Mytilus edulis: one gene and its partner. Each later gene encodes a partner of the first gene's protein in a complex. Links are inferred from orthologs where the notes say so. Each region holds a gene or a part of one and is shown on either strand. Other genes may lie near its edges.

Region 1 (7,578 bases):
CATACGGGGTATATATCTCCCAATTGATATGATATTCCCGTGCTTGCATTTCCTATCATGATTTTCTTAATAGAGGGTTGCTGCTCACAAGGAAGCTATTGAACCAAGAGTTCCAAATGGTGAAGTTGAAATCATCCCTTCTTAAATTTTACGGACGCCATCACGAGTTGGTTGACCGTTATGGAATAACCGTTTCACAAATGATATCGGATATGTTCCTTACGTCGTAACTACAATCCCCTCCCCTTTCGTGAATGTGACCTACCGAATTAGACTATTTACCGGATTTGTTATCACATAAGCAACACGACGGGTGCTGCATGTGGAGCAGGATCTGCTTACCCTTCCGGAGCATCTGAGATCACCCCTAGTTTTTTGGTGGGGTTCGTGTTGTTTATTCTTTAGTTTTCTATGTTGTGTCGTGTGTGCTGTTGTTTGTTTGTCATTTTGATTTTTAGCCTTGGCGTTGTCAGTTTGTTTTAGATTTATGAGTTTGACTGTCCCTTTGGTATCTTTCGTCCCTCTTTTTGAATGCTATATATTGTGATCGGCAGTTGTCTTTGATTTGTTTGCCTTAACCGTATGCATTTTATCTTCAAATTTTAACTGAGTGTCAGCAACTTGACATGTAGCACTAATGGAGCAGAAATCGTGTATCTTCAGGTAAGGCCGTTGCAAAAAGAAAAGTATCGAAATGAGAACAAAAGTTAAACAAACCATTTGACAGAAACAACTGATTGAGAAGCACAACAATAACCTTATCATAAGACCTGCGATATACGACATAAAGCTCAATTACAAATCTTTATATACAAGACAACATGCAAACATAAGCTGTTGAAACCTTTTTAAACTTTATCAAGGAAATACTGACATAAAAAACTTTTTGAATTCAACACAAACTAAGATAATTAGCAAACACTTATGTTTGTGATGTGTAACATCCCGTCAAAATTCCACTTTTCCTGCATTTGATTTACAAAACTGTAAAAGCACATCTTTTCTATCCCTAAACGACAAATATCTTCTTGATGGTATCACCAGCCCTGTAGTCTAGCACTTCTGTGTTGATCCGGATTATCACTGATATGGTCATAACTATGAATTAACTGTTTATACACTTTGAATTATCCGAAATACTAACGATTTTCTACGCCAGAAATAGATTACTTATTCTGTGTTTGGCAATTTAAAGGCAACAGTAGTATTCCGGTGTTCAAAAGTCATAAATTAATTGAGAGGAAACAAATCCAGGTTACACAAACACAGGGAAACACATCAGTCAACTATATATAAGAGAAGAACAAAGGAACACTGAAGTGCAACAAAAACAAACGCCAAGATGTATGGAAACGAACTAAAATAGATAGCAAACAACAGTTTGTGTAACTCTCATGCGCGTAATACATCCTTGTAGATTACGAAAAGAGCAGACTAATGCCGCTACAAGGCAGCACTCGCACCATCAAATGAGAAAAGGATTATTATAAGTTGTTCAAACTTGTTTCCCAATCCACTATAAATAAATATGTTTAAACTAACGAACTATTTGTTAACACCTGTCATATTCCTGACTTGTCTAGGAAACAAATGGCGGGTTGAACCTTCGGAAATGTTAGATCATCAATGCTCTTCCACTTCGTACTTTATTTGGATTATTAACCTTTCTGATTCGAGCGTCAATGATGATTTTGTTGTAGACAATACGCGCTTCTGGTATAAATTTGTTTGGTATATACAATGAGTGTATCGATCATTTCTGTGACATTTTGATTATTTGGTTTTTACACCATTCACTCTTTCTATTTGGAGAACCTTCTTTATTTATGTTTTCCATTGGTTTAGTGACTTATGGCTTGATTCAAAGGAAACTGCATCTCATTTGATAAACGATTTGCAAATTCGATATAAATTTCGCTTCAATTACCTCTCCATCAAACATAACACATATGAAATTGGGATTGTGGTTTAGGGAGTTTAGAAATTAGAAATGCACTCGTGTTTGGGAAAGTTGTGTAAGTATAATTTTTCTATTTGAAAAATAATAATTTGAAATAGTTTTGTATTCGTCTTCTGTTTCTAACAAAACAAGCAAATAATGTTATCAGCACTAAACAATATGACATCACAAGTTGTTTCACAGGCTGTAAAACAGAATGGCCTGTTGATTCTGTTTATTGCGGTGCTGTTTAAATGTTACTTTATAAATGCAAAATGCGAAAAATATTGTTATCTCTTTTGTCGCAAAGCTAAGTTGCAACTGGGCATCAGTGTAGGTGGTCTTTGTTTTCTTTAATAAATTTACTGTTTTAAAAAGTATTATTTTTTTTCGAAATACTTTAGGATTTTCTTATCACAGGCATCGATTAATTTAGCCGTATTTGGTATAACTATTTGGAATTTTAGGTCCTCAATGCTCTTCAACTTTCTACTTGTTTGGCATTATAACTATTTTGATCTGAGCGTCACTGACGAGTCTTTGTACACGAAACGCGTGTCTGGCGTATTAAATTATCAGCCTGATACCTTTGATAACTGTCTAGGATAAGTCATCGTATTAAACCGATTCCTAGCATTGAATTATTCGGTGACAGGATAAAGTTTGTACAGAGGAACCCGAATTTACAAAATAATGCTACATTTCTATCCTGATTATAACTGTAAAAACGTTTTATTCTGTCGAATAATCAAACCCTTAAGACGGCCATAAGACGACCGCAGATGCTTTTTCATTATTATCTATTGATTGATTGGTGTTTGGTTTACGCCGTCTAAGCAAATACGGAATATATCGTGGCGATCAATAGTAATAATCGTAACCCAATCACCACAAATTCAGTGTTCCTGTTTCTAGACTCTGGGTAATAAGATAACTTACCTTTTGGTTTTATGTCGTTTAAACCATACAATGACATGCATTTATTGTCCTGAATAGCAAGGTTCTTTCTCATTTTTGGTCTGGATGCCATTGGGAGTTACATGCGGAGCAAAATATGCCTAACTTTTTGGGACAAATTTTGTTACTTGTTTTGGTGTGTGTACTATTTTTTATTCCGGCTGTATTCGTATACGACGGTTTCTGTTGCACTTATTTTATTTTCTCGTCCGTCTGTTGTCCCAAATCTCTCGAAATTTGATTGATAGTAGTATGGTATGTCCTGGCTGTTTCTGCTATATAGATTCTGAATGATAATTTACTGGAAAAAAAAAAACAGAATAGCTTACAACAGTTGAGGTCGATATCATATCATATAAATGAGTCAAAAACTTATTTTCAGATATTTGGCTCATAAGAGTTTTACCCTTAGTTTCTGTCATATTTCTCATCAATAGTAGTTACTATATGAGGTTCTTTTATTTTATGTCAAAAGTCGTACTATAACTATGTCTTAGATATAAATTATTCACTTATTCAATGTGTTCTTTTTCTTACTCATACGATCTTAAAAAAATGTACCGCTTACGGAAATTAAGAATAGAGGGACAGCACATATAAACTACAGTTATTACAAGATCGAATTGATAAGAGTAAAAACACATAGAATAATTAAATATATTTGAAAATTTTAGAGAATCCTGGGTATCGTCTTCGATTGCATCCATGGGGGGGGGGGGGGGGGTATCATTTGGGCAAACATCTGTTTTTCTTTGCCATTTATTGATCTTTAAAACTGAGGCGTGTGTCCAAGTTTCATAACGTCCAAAGAATGAAAAGCGTAACGGTTACCTTAAAACTTCATTCCTATCCTGAGCGCAAATAAAAATTGTTTACACAACAACTTTAGACCAGAACATACAGTCGGAATGTGGCGGGCTTTAACTATTTAGAAAGCGCTTAACAATGCAAATTTAGGAATATCTGTACTAAAGCTATAATGACAATGTGTATAACAAATTAAGTTTCCATTGGAACTTCCATTATTTTGTGTAAAATATATAGTTAACTTCGTTTACATGGTGATGTATTAGTCCGCATGCTGTATATATGTTAATGTTATAATAACTTTGTACATGTATAACTGATTTTTTGAGTGCCCCGTGTGCAAGGGTTAGGGCGCAATTAATAAGGGTGCAAATAAGAAGTACGCTATAGAAGCGAAGCTCCTGCTAGAGGAGGAAGATAAAGACTAGGTAACAGGTAACAGGTAAGGTATGCGGAACAAATCAATATTGGGTGCGTTCAATTTTTTAAGTAAGATATTTATTAACATTTATACAGAATAGGTGGCGTTCACATCTCACATTGACATTCGGAAATGTTTAACAAAAACAGTTCGTTATTATTCATCTTTTGTCAACTTTCGTTTGAATCTTGGCTTGATCGAGAAACCGGAAGTTCCAAATCCAATATGTCTGCGCCCATGTATCGAAAAAAAGCGCAGTTTTAGCGTATTTTTCCAGTAATTTTCTGTTATAAATTCAAACCGTAAGTTAAAAAAAATCACCAAACATCAAATAATTTAAACAATGGTATTGCTTGTTACTCTAATGGGTGTCCTAGCGATCTTTTGTCATGTATCTCGCTCATTAATGATTAAATAAAAGTCTATAGTAAAGAGATGATTTTTAGATTTCAATGTTAAAGTCAAGACAGTTTGGAAATGACCCTCTTTCATTAAATGACATTTAGTTTTTTCCCTAAGAACTTGTGGGTTAGGTAATTTTACCTGACATCCCATTTGCCGATGATTTGCCATTGGATATATGGTTCCATGGGGTATATATTATGTCGGTTAAAAGCTCATTAGAGCTTATGTTTGTCTATGTTTTATATACCATGCCGACTCTAAATAAAGCTTATTTATTTATTATTTATTATAGTATCAGGTCCGTTCGCGCCCAATATACTTTCTCACCCTACACGTTCGCACCTCACTTGTTCGCCCCCGAAGTCTGTTCGCACCATACACGTTCGCGCCCAATTTATAAAGGTAACTGTAACGTGTAACCGGGCGGGGACGTTTAGATATTTTTATCCTCGGGTTCGTACCAGTTTCCTGGATTTGAAAAGCATTTCAAAAGTTCTAAAGTCAATTAAATGTTTACACTATCTCTATCAAATATGAAACAAATACTATAATACATAAAACGAATTTCAACACCTATCAACCTAATCCGAACTTGTTGAATCAAAACTGTTTAAAACCCTTTCTGTCCGATACTGTTTAAAACCAACTGTTTGAAACTATAGTCTGGAACCTAAATGTATAGAACTGGTTTGAAACCTAAATGTATAAAACTGGTCTGGAACCTAAATGTTTGGAACCTGTCTGGAACCTAAATGATTGAAACTGGTCAGACGGTTTGGAACTATTGTCTGAAACCTAAATGTTTGGAACCTGTCTGGAACCTAAATGTTTGAAACGGTTCAGACGGTTTGGAACTATTGTCTGAAACCTAAATGTTTGGAACCTGTCTGGAACCTAAATATTTGGAACCTGTCTGGAACCTAAATGTTTAAAAACGGGACTAAACCTTAATGTATCAAACCGGCTGAACCGAAATGTATCAAACGGGCTGAAACCTGAATAAAACGAATGTATGGAAACTATTCAAACTGTTGTAAACTTTGTACGTATGAAACTTTATTGAAATATATTTATAAAACTGTTGGAACAGGGTAGCACTAAGGTATGGTTTAACAGCAAACACTCACTGCAATAGTGAGAGATGTGGAACGCAAAACCTTAGCACTAACCCTGTTTATACAACTTCTACGGAACCGAAACTATTTATATCTTCTCAACAGGTTTCAAACACTCCACTTTGTTTGAATACTCCTGCTACTCGTCTTTAAATATTAACGGTCCTACCTTTTTAATCTTCTTCTTCCGACGTCTCCGATAAGAATGACAATTTACACTGGATAAGCTAACCACTATTTATACTTCTAACGCGGACCTCGAAGAGAGCACCCTAGTAACAACTGTACAGGTAAGCGTCTGATAGCAACCAAGGATAAAGGGATGATTTTAGATACAGTTTTCAACGATGAACGGATGATATGGGAAACTAATAGAAATATCGGAAAATATATAACTGTAGAACTATTATAACCTTCTTAAACTGCAAATTCGTAACACTACCCACGCCTCCGATTTCATGCGTCCTCGCATGAGTTTTACAATTTTATACTGACTTAATCAAAACACAATCAAAACTGTTCTCGTTAAAACTAGCTGACACCATACCAAGGTTCTACTTTAAACCTCAATGTATCCACTCATTCCGCAGAATATCTCTCCCAGCAACTGTTTGTACACCGAGGGTTATACCATGATAACCAACTAATGGCTTTCCTACAACAATCTGTTGACAAACGTCAGACCTAGGGGTACCTTAGCCTACTCACAGTTCCGGGGTTCCTGTCAGCCTCTTTCGACTTGCATGTTCTTTCTGTTTTGTTTGTTAACTTTCTATTTTCAAAATATCCTACTTTAATTCATATTTGTACAAGCAACTGAATACTGAACTTAAATTAAATTTTGACCAGATATAACCGTTTCAAATATAATATTTTGAGTACCACTTGAAAAGTTGTGTTGCCAAAAACCAGTTTAAAACAATTTTGCCTCACAACAGGCCACTTACGGACCCCTCAATTAGAGTTGTTGTAAAGGGTTCTTTAACGTGCACAGGATGTGGTACTTCCTGAACACGGGACCTCGGATTTAAGGTCCCCATCCGACGGACGGACAGTCATAGACAATCACAAAATACTAAACAGAAATGCTCGACAAATCCCACCGCTGAGCCACCATTTGTAACGTGTAACCGGGCGGGGACGTTTAGATATTTTTATCCTCGGGTTCGTACCAGTTTCCTGGATTTGAAAAGCATTTCAAAAGTTCTAAAGTCAATTAAATGTTTACACTATCTCTATCAAATATGAAACAAATACTATAATACATAAAACGAATTTCAACACCTATCAACCTAATCCGAACTTGTTGAATCAAAACTGTTTAAAACCCTTTCTGTCCGATACTGTTTAAAACCAACTGTTTGAAACTATAGTCTGGAACCTAAATGTATAGAACTGGTTTGAAACCTAAATGTATAAAACTGGTCTGGAACCTAAATGTTTGGAACCTGTCTGGAACCTAAATGATTGAAACTGGTCAGACGGTTTGGAACTATTGTCTGAAACCTAAATGTTTGGAACCTGTCTGGAACCTAAATGTTTGAAACGGTTCAGACGGTTTGGAACTATTGTCTGAAACCTAAATGTTTGGAACCTGTCTGGAACCTAAATATTTGGAACCTGTCTGGAACCTAAATGTTTAAAAACGGGACTAAACCTTAATGTATCAAACCGGCTGAACCGAAATGTATCAAACGGGCTGAAACCTGAATAAAACGAATGTATGGAAACTATTCAAACTGTTGTAAACTTTGTACGTATGAAACTTTATTGAAATATATTTATAAAACTGTTGGAACAGGGTAGCACTAAGGTATGGTTTAACAGCAAACACTCACTGCAATAGTGAGAGATGTGGAACGCAAAACCTTAGCACTAACCCTGTTTATACAACTTCTACGGAACCGAAACTATTTATATCTTCTCAACAGGTT
Region 2 (7,629 bases), on another chromosome or scaffold:
TTCAAACTTGATCTGTGTTTTGTGGTAATTATCATTGTGCAAAGTATTATAATATTTGTTTGAGGCAAACTAAAGTTAGAGAATGGAAACGATAAATTTAGCAATTTTTCCATTTAGTATACATCATAATAAAACAATGAAAATAACAACAAATATAGTGATGCCCATATGTTGTTTATTTTTGGAGGCATAATGTATGCAACATTATTCAAAATAAAATATCTATAGCCCAAAATTCCATCTTTCATATTCAGATGAAATCCTTTCAGAAATACAATGAAATATGAAGCAACAAATTATCATCCTGTCCAGTAACTCAAGATAAATCCCCTTTAATATTTGGTCAAAAACTTTCCCTGGGGTAAGACTGGGGATAACACATCAACAACATTACTAGCAAAGCCAGCAGAAGCCATGATTTCCTCCACAAAACCTACAAATCGGCTATAACCATCAAAGAGCAAGCATTCAAAACTCTAGTAACGCCCCAACTAGAATACACCACAACCATATTGGACCCATATCATCAAAATCATATTGACCAAATTGAAAAAGTTCAAATGAGGGCTGCAAGATACGTCACCAAGCACCACAGAAACAGATCAAGTGTCCCAGACATGATGAACAAATTGGGTTGGAAAAGTCTGAGCCTCCAAGATTGACGCAGAGAGGTCAGGCTCGCAATGATGTACAAGATCGTCAACGACAAAGTAGCCATCAGCAAAGACATGTACCTCCAAAGACAAACTAGAATATCAAAACGTACACAACAGAAACTACATGGATACATGGTGCAACGAACCAACGACTGCAGGAAATGGTCCCTCTGTGTGAACACCACAAAAGACTGGAACAAGCTTCCCCCGGAGATCGACACAGCACAGTCATTTGAGACTTTCAAATCTGAAATGACCTACCTATCTTGTTTTTAACCATGCAGAACCAATTTGCCAGTATATTCTGAAAGTTGAATGCAGGCAGTATGTGGAAGAAGACAATATTGTGTAGGATTAGTGAAATACTGAATGTTTGGTTAAAACTACTGTTTTGAAAAATCGAAAAGTTCAAGTCCTGTTTTGGTCTCAATATGGAAAAGAACGGATATGGGTTTATAAATACCCTTAATGACACGAAGACATCACATATTGATCATTAAATGTTACACAAAATTAAATCTAGAGCTGACGACACCAACTTCAATAGAGCAGGAACTTCCCACTTACAGACAGCCATCTCTGGATGGTCTCAAACAAAACAAGAACAACTGAACCCAAAAGCATGTGGCAAAATGTTCAAATATCTTATTTAAAACTAAAAGGTTTAACCAAGAACATATATGTCCCTGGTTTAATAACACACCAATGACTTGAATGGATCCTTTAAATATAAAAACAACTTGCGTCCTCTATGTTGGAAAAATCGACCTGCGACCTGTACTTTTGTCTTAAAAACGACTGCGCGACCTAACGACGAATTTAAAAGTGACCTTGCGACCTGAGGGGGGTACCCTGTGGGAGCCTCCAGTACAGTCAAATCAGCACCTAGTCAATTTGGCACCTGGTTAAATCAGCACCTGATATAGTCATTTCGGCACCCATGAAAGATATGTTTAACATATGTTTTGTTCAGTATTTTAAGCAAAAAGTTGTATTCACAGTATTGACTCATTGACATTTTTGGAGGGTTTCTGTATGTATTTTTTTTGTTCAACTTAATTAGTATTCAAAGTTTTCAACATTTGAGCATTTTGCATGATATTTGGTAAAATGCATCGACAGTATACTGTTATTTAATAATCAATGTTTAAAAGTCACCAATATTTGCTAATATTAAATTTCAAGTGTTATTCAGTCATTATTAGTGTTATTCAGTCATTCGAGGTACCGGTGCTGATTCGACTTGTAGTGAAGTTGGAATCCGGGTCCGTTCGCGCCCACTCATGTTCACCCCCTTTCACTTTCGCACCCTACATGTTCGCGCCCAATTTTAATTGGTTTTGTGTAGCTTTGTAATCAAGTTTTGGCAAGTGTATTCTTATATTTGTTGTCATTGTCTCAAAATAAAGTGAGACAGCATTTTTTTTTTGTGTTGAATATATCTATCATGTTTTGGATAGTGTATTGTTAAAAATAATAAATAATCCTTTCTAAATAAAGTGGGATTCTGTCAACGTTTTATTTTGTGTTGAATAACTCTTAATCATGTTTTGGTTAGTGTATTGCCATAACTTTATTTCATTGACTTGTTTCAAAATAAAGTGAGATTCTGACTACGATTTTTTTTTGTGTGTTGAAATTTTTTTATCATGTTATGGTTATAAAAGTGTATTGCTATATTTTATTGTTTAAGATCGAAGGGACCAAGCTGTTAAAAACAATTATCTTTTGTGTTTTTCATTTAAAATCTTGAATGTTTTACTTACACCAAAGCAATTAATAACAACAATCATGATTTTCCAATTATTCTACTGGAATTTGAATTATAATTGGGCGCGAACGTGTAAAGTGCGAACGAACCTTGGGTGCGAACATGCGAGGTGCGAACGTGTAGGGTGCGAAAGTGTATTGGGCGCGAACGAACCTGATACCGTGAAGTTGTACCCTTTTTCATGGATTCTACCCACTGATATTTATTTGGCTTTTGGCATAGGATCAAAGGAAGCAGGACAAATCGCCCCCTGGCAAAACGCCCCACTTTTTCACCAACTCGCCCCACCATTAAAAAAATCAAAAAAATCGCCCCAACCTGGTTAACCAACTCGCCCCACTTTAAAAAAAAATCGCCTCACTTGTGAAAAGGGTTAAATCCAGTTAATTTTCCCCTGTCAACTCGCCCCACTTATTGAAAAAAGGGAAAAATCTACTTCTATATATGTAATTTTCAGGTCTACCAACTAGCCGCACTTAAATGAAGACTTATTTTGATTTTTGTAATCTACACAGAATACAAAAAAAAAAAACGAAATTTATTAAACTTTTTTAACATTTTTAAAATATAATTGCAATTACATTTTTGTATCATTATTGGAGAATAACTTTATACTTGTAAGCTTAGTTATTTGTATAACAATTGAAAAGAAACCTGTTAATTGTATCATAATCATACTATTGATGCGTGATTAACATTTATATATAACTTTATTGCAAAAACAGAGTTTTTAACAGCAATTTGATTTTATAGCACTTCACTTTGGTGTTTAAAGGTAATGACGTGGGCAGGGACAAAGATATACAACGGGATTGCATCTTTTTTATATGTGGTTTATCTATTTGTCATGAGTGGGGCTGAAAGTTGACAGACCGTATTTCAGCGGGATTTTAACCCTTTTCATAAGGGGAGCATGTTATCATAACTATTTGCAATGGGAGTTTACCCTTTTCATAAGTGGGGCGAGTTGGTAAACAAGAGTGGGGCGTTTTTTTAGAAAGTGGGGCGAGTTTGTGAAAAAGTGGGGCGATTAGGTGTGGGGCTATTTGCCAGTGGGGCGATTTGTCATGGATTCGGACCAAAAGAGCTAACTATGATCTGCTGGATATTTTTATAATGACGTCTACGACATAAAAAAGGATTTGTGCCCTTATACGACTGGAAACTGTTGATGCAAAAAATAAAAGAAACCACTATAACAAATAAAACAGCATCCAAAAACGTCATAAGTCATTGTAGTTGAAGTTATTGTGTATGGCAACTCATTTTCAAATTAATGTCTATGCAATCCGGTGCATAACACAATAAAGGAAACTTTTGTATTGCTCACTTTTTTTGCTTTGATGTAATTTTCTACGCAAAAATTGTATATTTTGGATTTTTCTTCAAAATTTCCTTGTCCAATGGCGCTGATTTATTGTGCATCAAATTTCATGACGTAGTCAATTAATGTGGATTGTGATAAAACATGTATTTTTTTCCGCAAAAAGACAAGTTTAAAAACAAAATCTAAATGTATTGAAAAGAATATTAGTCACAGAAAAGGGTACGCAATAAGGCATAAAGGTTGTTATATCTCCCTGATTCAGACTACTTTGTAGTAATTTTCAAATGGACTATAAATCCTTAATTTTCAGCATGTGAAAAGAGAGAATCCGGAAATTCTTAAATATAGTATTGCCGGTATCGACTCTGTGTTTTATCGTTCGACTGTCGTTTCCGGAACGCTTTTTCCGCCATTATCTATTTTTGTTGTTTGCCGGCTCTGCCGACAATAATCCTTGTTAATCACAATGAGTAAGGCTCATCCTCCAGAATTGAAAAAGTAAGTCACGACTGAAATTATTTGTATGTGTTTCCAGGACATTTAAAGACCCAAATTACAAGACATTTCGTGATTTGTGCCTCTATAATTTTCAAAAGAAATTATTTGCCTTCTTTCACTTCTTCTTCTTCTTCTTTCAGTACAGAGTCGGACTCTTCTTGAGTGTATAAATGACTCTTGCTCGTGAAATCATGAGGCCTTCCCTCCTCACTTAATAAAAACTATTTACAGGAAAATTATTTACAAATAAAACTATGTACATCTGGGGTCAAAGGAGATCTAGGTGTGTGAAGCTCCTGTCAAGGCCTCTGGCAGGATGGTAAGGCTGGCCTTGAACTCTTCTAGTGTAGCTGCTGTTGTGGCTTTTTCCGGTAGAGTGTTCCATTCCCTGGTTGATCTTGGGAAGAAGGAGTACCTGTATTGGTCTTTTAGAGTGCGCTGTTGGTGTATGCGGTGGCCTCCTCTGGTCCTTGAATCTCCGGGTTTGTAATAATTAGAGGGGTCAATATCCACCAATCTATTGCGGATCTTGTATGCCATGGTGAGTCGGTCTTTGCAGCGGCGATCTTTAAGGATCTTTTAGGATACTATACTCATAGGGTTATATACTAGTGCATTTATTCATGTCACTTACACAGCCTTATTTATAATAAGACCCTTAAACTTTACAGATTGGGTAAAAGTCGTGAAAAGGGAGGTTATATTTTTTTGTTTTTATGGCAGTTTTCTGGTGTTGATAAAAGTTTAAATTTTTAACCTAGTTTTATTATTGTTTCCAGGGACTTCCCTTTTCTATTTCAATTAAGACATTAAATTTACAAAAGAACACGTTTGAAATGCATCAGTAGTATCTAAATAAGTGAAGCCTCGTTTAAACTTTTTTCTAAAACTAAATAACACAAATCCGCACATATATAGTCCAATGTATATAAGTATGAGAGACTACATGTAAATTTTATCTATTACATGCCTACATGGCCAAAGTGGTACAACTACAAGACCGCACTGGCTTCATTGCAGAAACATCTTGTAAAAAAACCCAGACAAATCTTAACTTGAAAACATGACGTAATGATAAACAAGAAAAGATAACTCTAATAATATCCTCGATCTCCTATGTTGGAAGAGAGGACCGCCTACACAAAAAGGAAAACACATGTTGGTTTGGTTATCTTATTTCTAAAAGAGGGATGAAAGATACCAAAGGGACAGTCAAACTCATAAATCTAAAACAAACTGACAACGCCATGGCTAAAAATGGAAAAAAAACCCAGAAAAACAATAGTACACATGACAACATAGAAAACTAAAGAATAAACAATACAAACCCCACCAAAAACTAGGGGTGATCTCAGGTGTTCTGGAAGGGTAAGCAGATCCTGCTCCACATGTGGCACCCGTCGTGTTGCTTATGTGATTACAAATCCAGAAAATAGTCTAATTCGGTAGGTCACATTCATGAAAGGGAAGGGGATTGTAGTTACGACATAAGGAACATATCTGATATCATTTGTGAAATGGTTATTCCATACCGGTCAACCAACTTGTGATGGTGTCCGTAAAATTTATGAAGGGATGATTTCAACTTCACCATTTGGAACTCTTGGTTTAATAGCTTCCTTGTGAGCAGTAACCCTCTCAAGAAAATCATGATAGGAAATGCAAGCTTGGGAATATCGTATCAATTGGGAGGTATATACCCCGTATGCAGGTGCTGCTGGAATGTTGCTACTTAGAAATGGAAAGTTCACAATTGGAAAGCTGAAATCATCTCTTTTGTCGTAAAGTTTTGTTTTCAACCGACCCTCATTGTCAATTTCTAGATGTAAGTCAAGATATGAAGCCGACTTCATTCACTTATTTCTAAGTGAGAATCAAGTGTTACAACAATAATTCTAACAATATGGGAAGGATTATTATTATGTTGTACTAAATTTCAATTAAATGTCTTTCATTCTAAAAGTCATTAAAACAAAATAAAATACAAAAAAACAAACCAACGTGTTTAACTATAAGCAGTCAGAGCTCAGACATAAATAATCATATTAAAATGCATTTTTGACTCACTGTAAGTCGGGGGGGATAAAAATGACTTGTTTATGTCTGAGCTCTGAGTGATGAGAGTTATCTTTTCTTGTTTTGTGTGACATCACAAGAAGATTCAATCTGGGCAATGGCTGAACATTATACATGTAGGTGGAAAATGAATACAAATGGAAATAATCTATGCCAATATGGTATGCACTACCAAAATAGTTTAAAAAAACCATAAGGACCTAAGAGCTACGGTTCCACAGCTAGGGTTAACTGTGAATTAAACTATGCACCAAAATAAATTGGTTTTGAGCATTCTTGGTCTGTTTGTCACCCTCTGAGACTTGCTGATGAATTGGTATCCAAAATACAGATGGTCCAATTTTAAGCTGCTCGGTATGAAACAAGTCTTGAATGAAAACAGTTTATCAGTCATATTTTTGATGATGTTTGCAAATACCTTTGTACACAGAATTTAAACTTGTAAATGTATAATTATATGATGTTCCTTTATTTCAGGTTCATGGAAAAGAGAGTTTGCTGTAAGTAGCCAACAAGATTTATGACTTAAAAATTTGATGCTTGCATACAATTGTTTATAACTACCTCTAGCTATAAATCAAGGTTTATTGGCCATTGTAACATGTCTGTAATCTCCAGGGTTCTCAAAAACTCTGGTTTTATGAGTATTGCTAATCTCTGTATCATGCATTCCGTCAGAGACCAGATTTTTATTTCTGACTCCCAACTTTTACTGTGCATTTATATACCTAACCTACTGAATGTACATTGACATACATCAGTAGTTAACTGATCATGAAGGGATGAAATAGAAGAGCAAAACGGATTTTTCACCAAAAAAAAACATATTATATTAGATAAAATAAAAACTGCTGGCCGTGCCTTAACAATACTCATATGTACAGGTATGGGGAGACCAACAATCGATTTTTCACTAGGCTTAAAAATTTTAAATTGAAAAAAAATATTAAAATAACAATATAGTGTGAAAGTATGTACACAAATTTATTTTTCATGTATTAAGTTTTAATTAAACATTTAGGAAAAGATTCATTCAGGTGAACAAAAGCGGATGTTATTCAACAAATATTGTTTAATATATACATGTATAACTTTATAAAGACTTTAAACAATATTTTTAAGAGTTACATTTGTAATTGTGCTTTCGAAAAGAACAAATATTTTAAAGGATGGAGGTGACCTTTGGGGATTAACCTTTTATATCATTTTACATTCAAATCATGTTGGCATGCAGTGATATTGTTTGCCTCAAATTACAGCAGAAATTCGGCCTTTTCCCCTAGATAAAATTCCCAAATCCC

Evidence for each region.
Region 2: U4/U6 small nuclear ribonucleoprotein Prp4-like (region 1) and small nuclear ribonucleoprotein G-like share a complex: the UniProt entries of both Homo sapiens proteins name them as parts of the U4/U6-U5 tri-snRNP complex. The link is inferred for Mytilus edulis from reciprocal best matches to the Homo sapiens genes PRPF4 and SNRPG.

The regions. Positions count from the first base shown.
Region 1 is NC_092345.1:12,076,551-12,084,128, reverse strand, and holds the start of U4/U6 small nuclear ribonucleoprotein Prp4-like, read left to right. Parts: upstream 1-4,303; 5' UTR 4,304-4,426; intron 4,427-7,578. UniProt on the Homo sapiens protein: Plays a role in pre-mRNA splicing as component of the U4/U6-U5 tri-snRNP complex that is involved in spliceosome assembly, and as component of the precatalytic spliceosome (spliceosome B complex).
Region 2 is NC_092347.1:25,799,006-25,806,634, reverse strand, and holds the start of small nuclear ribonucleoprotein G-like, read left to right. Parts: upstream 1-4,102; 5' UTR 4,103-4,220; coding exon 4,221-4,252; intron 4,253-6,805; coding exon 6,806-6,828; intron 6,829-7,629. UniProt on the Homo sapiens protein: Plays a role in pre-mRNA splicing as a core component of the spliceosomal U1, U2, U4 and U5 small nuclear ribonucleoproteins (snRNPs), the building blocks of the spliceosome.